2 linked regions of the Saccharomyces cerevisiae S288C genome follow. The gene in region 1 interacts genetically with each later gene. Each region holds a gene or a part of one and is shown on either strand. Other genes may lie near its edges.

Evidence for each region.
Region 2: mutations in FUS2 (region 1) and AZR1 together harm fitness more than expected from each alone (negative genetic interaction), as found in Saccharomyces cerevisiae (2 studies listed by BioGRID).

The regions. Positions count from the first base shown.
Region 1 is NC_001145.3:734,926-738,685, reverse strand, and holds the start of FUS2 (Fus2p), read right to left. Parts: upstream 1,761-3,760; coding exon 1-1,760. Other genes in the region: tethering complex subunit PEP5, read right to left, coding at 2,052-3,760. UniProt on the Saccharomyces cerevisiae protein: Promotes cell fusion during zygote formation.
Region 2 is NC_001139.9:940,892-944,651, reverse strand, and holds AZR1 (azole transporter), read right to left. Parts: upstream 1,847-3,760; coding exon 5-1,846; downstream 1-4. Other genes in the region: phosphatidylinositol-3,5-bisphosphate binding protein HSV2, read left to right, coding at 2,437-3,760. UniProt on the Saccharomyces cerevisiae protein: Transporter protein required for adaptation to high stress imposed by low-chain organic acids, in particular by acetic acid, and for resistance to azoles, especially to ketoconazole and fluconazole.

The DNA of each region.
Region 1 (3,760 bases):
AAAGTAATAAAGACCGGTAATTCCCTTTTCATCTGGTTTTGCAGGTTTTGGAAATGCATTCCCAACAAGTCACGTTTAATATCTCGCACATTTGCTTTTTTTTCTTGTAAAAATAACATGTAATCTTTCTTCAAAGCTTGCAAATCTTTTAGTTTGCTTTTAACGGTAGTACAATGGGCTATGATTCTTTCAAGTGGGTTCATCACATCTGTTTCGAGCTCTGTGAGTTTCAAAATTGTTACTTGATTTTTTTGTTCATGCAGTTTATCTATGTACGAAGAACACATGGTCGATATTAAGTTATCGTGCGCAAAAAATGCACCAGAAGGGCGTTCGCACTCGATCACCTTTTTCCATGCATTTATTCTTCTTAAACTGATATCAATAATGCCTGACAGATCGTTTTTCAATAAATTCTTTTTTAATTCTAACAAACCTTTCATTACTTTCTTGAATTTACTGATGTGATCTGCCAATGTAAAAAATTCTGTTTCTTCATCCATTTTTAGATTTATCATCTCAGCTGAGGCAGTTGAAGTATTAGTGACAATTTCTAGCCCTGATACATCTGAGTAGTAACTCGATGATCCAGAAAGAAGAGAAGGAACTCTACTATTATCCAAATTACTCTCTTGTCGAGATGCATTACATATATTTTTATTTTGTTTGTCTGGGGGTTTTAAAAGGTGTGTAAACTGATCTTCATCATAACTTTGTATAATCTCTGATGGGGTTAAACTGAAATTATACATGGAATTACTCTTATACTCGGAGACCTCGGTTTCTAACTTATTGGAAAATAAAGAATATTTTCTTCTTGTCGGGCTTAGTTTCAAGCCCAATTCTGGCGAAAGAATATCTTCGTAACAGCTTTCCAAAGTTTCCAAAGTATCAATCCACTGAGTCAGTCTTTTCATCGGGCTTTTCAATATGTCCTCTAACTTTATACATCCACTCTCTTTTAAACAATATTCATACCACTTGTTAAAAAAATGATTCTTATTCATCCTTAATGTAGTAAATAGTTCCATTTGTTTTTGGTGGCTAACAAAATAGCTTGTGTAGGTGGATTTGATTCTTAACAAATGTTGCTCGAACGCCTCTGAAATATCAAAAGTTGAATATAGCTGCTGTTGTACCTCATTTTTGGTGAATATCTTTTGCCATTCATTCGCATCCAACATTTTCCCACGTTGCTTGGCTAAAAGTAGGTCTTTTATTGCCGTTACCAGTATTTTGCTGATTGACGCAATAGTGTCAATGTTCCCAAAAAGCAATAGCTCGTCACTTGAATCAAGCTTGACAAGTTTATTCTTGAATCTTGGATCACTATTCAATGCCTTTCTGTATACGTTATTTGCGGTTAACAAATTATTGTAATATTCCACTTCAGAGAGGTAAAACTCCTGTACGATTTTATAAAATTTGCATCCCTCGTGAGGAGAATTGGGAATCTGAGGGCTCAAATTCAGTCTCACGACATTTTGAAATATCTCTGTGTTAATAGGAGAGTAAATTTTTTTATTGCTCAGGCTCTCCACTATAGAATGCAAGTCCAGACTTGCTGGTCGTTTATTCGTGAATTTTTTATCGTTGAGTTTGTTTTCATGTTTCGATAACTTTCTCGTAGGTTTTCTAACAATTTCTGGTAATTTGTCATCATTTTTATGAAAATAGTCATTTTTGTAGTCTCTTATTGGCGTTAATGAATCATTTTTCGGATAGTTCAAATCGTACAAGTTATATGAAGTCTTAAACATCGCAAGGGGTTTTCTTGTCTTTTTCTTAAGAACTTACTATAACAAGAAAACCTAAAATTGGTTTCACAAAGAAAAAAGATACTTTGTCAAATAAAAGACGGTTGCCACATTAATAATTTTTTCAAAAGGATGTATAAAGGGTCTATCTTAAATATACAACTTCGTCTTCACCTTTGTCTTTTCCAACATGCGCTGTTTCAGTAGGTAACATATATGTTTCAGATTAACTTCGCGACAAGTTCGGGGCGCATTTGTGACGCGGCGGCGACAATAGATCGTTATGATCCATCATTAAATAGTGATGTCAGAATAACTGATGGCACCTCTACCTAAAAACTCTGTTATGACTTTGAAACGGTCTCTACTACCTTCTTCACTGTTTAATGCAAAATTCAAAAGATCATTCTTTTCAACTACTTCGTGTTGAGCTTCAAAAAGTTTGTTGGAGGTTTCTAAGTCCACCAAGCATTTGGGACATTTAAAGAGCTTTCTCTCGCTTTCTAGAGTATCTTCTTCCTCATTTAGACAATGTTGGTGGTAAATGTGACCACATTTAAAAAAAACTACAGGAATATCCAATGTCAGTCTACACATGAAACACGTTTGATTCTTCAGGGGTACGTGGAGAGGTTGATCTGAATTAATGGTGTTCTTCAACTTCTTGTTTTTCTCCTTTAACTCTTTATCGTAAGATTCAATTAGTTTTTCGTTCCTTTTGATTTCTGTATCTTCGGTTTTGACATGATCAATAATGATGTCTTGTATCAGCCCAAAGTGGGCTACATTTGTACGGGATAGCGCTTTAATTATATCCAACAGTGGCATTCTTTCCCCCTCTATAATTGGCCTCAATACTTTTTCTTTCAGTACTTCATTACCGCCCATCTCCTTGAAGATTAGTTTATTAGAAACAAAGTAACTCAATGCTACTTGTAAGAGCTTGGGTTCCTCTGTGCCATATTTTTCTAGGAATTTGAGACAAGTACTTGGTTCTTCATTTAACGTCATAGCCCTAAATGTACTCAGCAAATCCATCTCGGGGTTATCATTGGCAAATGAAGCTATGTCAATTTTCGTCTTATCTTTTGCTGAAGCACTACTTTGATCCATATGGGAAATTAACAGCATTATTGAGTTATCCACCCTTTTGCTAGTATTATTACTTGCGGCAGAATACACCAATTTATTGCTCTCACGCAATACGCCAGTTGCTCTTGAACGCCAGTCGTCTATACGCTCGGGTACATCATTTTGCGCCAAATTCAAATATAAGTCATATAAAGTAGTCAAAATTACTTGCCTATCTTCGTCAAAACCCTCATACTGCTGGTAACATGCCAAACAGGCTTCTAAGAAAACAACAAATTCAAAAGGTTTTGTAACGAATGAACTGAAAACAATGGATGGCTTCGGCGGATGATAAGTAGGCTCTTCATGTTCGTGGGATGCCTCTGAAGACTCGCTCATTGCGTCTGATGTACCATTTGAGTTCATGTAGTTGAAGAATGTTTTGTAACTGTAAAAAACTGTTCTAATATTTTCAGAAAAATCGCCCGTCGTATCTCTCCGGTCCAGATCCACTTCAAAAGTGGATGGTTTGAACTTCCCTGTAAATACTTCTATCAGTAAAGCATTAGTTTCATTCGGTGACTCCTCCAGTAATTTTTTCGAGTACGTCACAAGGCATCTTAGGGTTTCATCAATTGGTAAACTTTTTATGTATTTTATGGCTTTTACAGGGTTATGCAATAGATTCAATAAAATATCCACAATAATTAATGAATCCTTTGAATACTTCTTTGCAAGTCTGTATGAGAGACGCTTAAAATCTGACTCTTTCATAAGCTCTAAGATTAAATCTAAATCAAAAAAATCGTTATCTGAATAAAAAAACGTCACATCATCCATATCGTCCATCACAACACCTTCATTCCAAATGCCTTTTCTATCGAAATGCTGGATAAAAGTATCAATTCCTTCAACATCCTTCAATTTGATTA
Region 2 (3,760 bases), on another chromosome or scaffold:
TAACTTATCTCAGGCTTGCTGTGACTTTCTTATTTGAAGCAAAAACAGCAAAAATGAGAGATAATGCATAAAATCCTAATGCCATGTAAAAGACGTCAGTGAGAGATTCAGAAATTATATTGCCCAATTTGGAATGAGAGCCATCGAAATTGGTCTGCCTATAGATTACCAGATTGTCTACCGTGGTACCATCTGGGAGCTGAATATTAGCCTTGGTTAATTTCTTGATAGCAGCAGCACTGAAAACAGTGTTAGAGATGACACCTCCCAGTGCTTGACCTAGATTTTTGCAAAATGTGTTAAAAGTGGTAATAGAGACAAAATCTGATCGAAAAGTTGGGCTCTTCTTGTCTAACTGAATTTGAGAAGCGAGCATGGAACTTTGTGCCAAACCACCGAAAGCAACGCCAGGTAATATCAAAAGGCCGATGTGAGCAGAGTTATTGGCATTATTGTTCAATAGGGTTAATATACCCGCACCAACAACACCAAAAATGCTTGAAATAACAATAATCGGTTTGATTTGGCGGGTTTTGTCGGTGATAGCACCGCAAAGTATTGCTGTAACGACTGTAGAAATAATGCAAGCAACCAGGTGTACAGCGGCTCTCCAGGCGGAATCATTGTAAATTAATTGGAAGTATTGCACAATATACGTAAACTGACTGATATATCCTGCACAAGTGAGAAACAAGGCTATATTAACCGTGAAAATACCTGGTTTCTTGATATTTGTCCATGACATTAATGGTTGGTAATGTGGTGTTGCTTTCACTATATTAAATTTGGGGAAGACAAGGAAATCATAGATACCTGCTAACACTACCAGGACTATACCGATGATGAAAAGAATAATGATGGATGCAGAGTTCCAAGCATACCGGTTACCGCCAAATGTGAAAGCCAATAGAATACATGTGAATCCAGCTGAACAAAACACAAACTCGATAATATCATACATGAAAATCAATTCCATGAACGGCTTTCTCCACCCATTAAGTTTGCTAAACCCTTTGATTTTCAATAAATGATATGCTACATTCCGAACAATTTCGATAAACTGTGATGGAAATTTGCGGATGTTATCCATTGTCTCTTGAAATGTACTTAAACCTGGGTTATAAAAGAACAGGAATAAGAAAAATGCTAGGCCACCGATCGGTAAATTAACATAGAAGCACCATCTCCATGTGACGCTGGAGGTGAAAACTCCTCCAAGGAAAGGCCCAACAACAGATGCAATAGCAAACGAACAACTCAAAACAGCAATTAGTATGCCTCTCTGCGACTCCTCTACCAGGGTTGAACCAATGACGAACGATAAACTTTGAATACCACAACCGCCGACTCCAGCAATAACTCTACCACCAATGAGCATACTCATTGAATTTGCTAAAGCAGAGATCAGCGACCCGATTTCAAAAATGACAATAGCAAATAGCATGGTCTCCTTGAATCCGATAGGTGTGGCAATTCTTCCCCATATCAACGCCAACAGAGCGTTTGGTAAGCTATACCCGGTAAATAACCACCCGATCTCAGAGTACGATCCAAACTGTTTAGCTACTTCTTCAATGATTGTAGAAACTATCATGATATCCAAGGCTGCCAGAAACAGCGACAAAGCCAATGCTATCAAAGATGCGTACAAGATAAACCCTTTAGGTAGTTCATTACTTTCGCTGGCGTTGTCCTCGAGCACCACGCTCACGTTTTGTTTTGATGTTGACTGCGTAGAATTTCGTCTCACAACATATTGTTTTTGCTGTTTCTCGTTCTGTTGTTGTGCTTTCTCACCGTAGTATGAGAGGTCGCTCATGCTGTAAGTCTTAGGTTCGCCTTTCATTGGGCTGCAATTTAGATACTAATGTAGACGTGGTGTTACTACAATTGTAGAAGAAAAGATACAAGATTTAAAGGACGTTGCAAGAGGGTACGGAAACTCTAGCATTATATATAATCAATTGATACAGTGCCGATTCTTTGATATAAGACATTTTTCTTTAAATTAATGTAGTGGTTCTGCTTGACACTTTTTATTGTATTTCCAGCCATAGCATATAGAAGCGCGGAAATACAGCGGATATCCGCTAGTTGGCGGAAATAATGCAAATTGGTAAGATCCTATGGTAACAGTGCAAGAAAGGGGCCTGAGTTAAAAAGAGAAAATGAGCCTATCCTAATGATGATAGCCAGGTTCATATTAACGTTGTTTACCTTTGTGTTCAAGATCAGGGGCTTTTGGCAGTATCTGAGCGAAATGAAATAAAGAAATTGATAATCACGTGATCACGGCTTTCTGGCTTGTAAAGCCGGTTATATTTATTTACCTTAGTAATACGTACTGCGGGGGCTATTGTTAAAGGGAAGAGAAACCAGAAGATCTGGAAAGGCAGCGATTATTAGAGGACAACTATAAGCATACATAACTAGCAGATGGATGTTCGTCGACCTATAAGGGAGGCAGTCAACAACAGGAGGAAACCAAAATTTTTGAGCGTTTCGTTTAACCAAGATGATTCGTGTTTCAGCGTGGCGTTAGAGAATGGATTTCGTATTTTCAATACAGATCCATTGACTAGTAAGCTATCGAAAACATTTAAAGAGTCTGCGACCAACCAATCCAGGGGCACTGGGATTGGCTATACCAGGATGCTTTATCGTACGAATTACATCGCACTAGTCGGAGGTGGTAAACGACCAAGGCATGCTCTAAATAAACTGATCATCTGGGATGATCTTTTGCAAAAGGAAACGATTACTTTGAAGTTTATGTCTTCCATTAAAGACGTGTTTTTATCTAGGATTCATATTGTGGTAGTCCTGGAGAACACAATAGAGATCTTCCAATTTCAAACCAATCCTCAAAGAATTTGTCCTATTTTGGATATCCCTCCCAATGGATCAGTGGACTATGTCGTTTGTAGCAGCAAACATCTCCAGTCGCAAGCATCGCAGTCACAGTCTAAAATCTTAGAAATCATTGCATTCCCATCGAATAAATGCGTAGGCCAAATTCAAGTAGCCGACCTATCACAAATAAAATATAATTCACAAAACCCGAAGGAATCAGCGCTTTTGCCCACTTCCATCATTAAAGCACATAAAAATCCCATCAAACTGGTTAGACTGAACCGTCAAGGCACCATGGTAGCAACATGTTCCGTCCAGGGTACACTTATAAGAATCTTCAGTACGCATAACGGTACTTTAATCAAAGAATTTAGAAGAGGGGTGGACAAGGCGGATATTTACGAGATGAGTTTCAGCCCCAATGGTAGTAAGTTGGCCGTATTGTCAAATAAGCAAACATTGCATATTTTCCAAATTTTTGAAACAACCAATACAGAAACGAATACACCAGACCACTCTCGTGCCAATGGTTCGAGCCATCCCTTGAAAAATTATATACCGAAGGGCCTATGGAGGCCCAAGTATTTGGACTCTGTGTGGTCGATATGCAATGCTCACTTAAAGAACCCAATCTTTGACGCTCACAGAAATGACAACAGTGGTGATGTAACTCACGATAACGAGTTCTATAAAGACAGATGTAGAATTGGCTGGTGTCAAGACTCTAATAATAGAGAACAAGACGATTCGTTGGTTCTGGTGTGGCAAAATTCTGGGATATGGGAGAAATTTGTTATTTTGGAGAAGGAACAACAAGATTCATCGAAAACGCATTATTCATTGAATGAAAGCTTGAGGAACGAAGATACGAAATCAGCGGGTGAGCCCACCAGATGGGAGTTGGTGA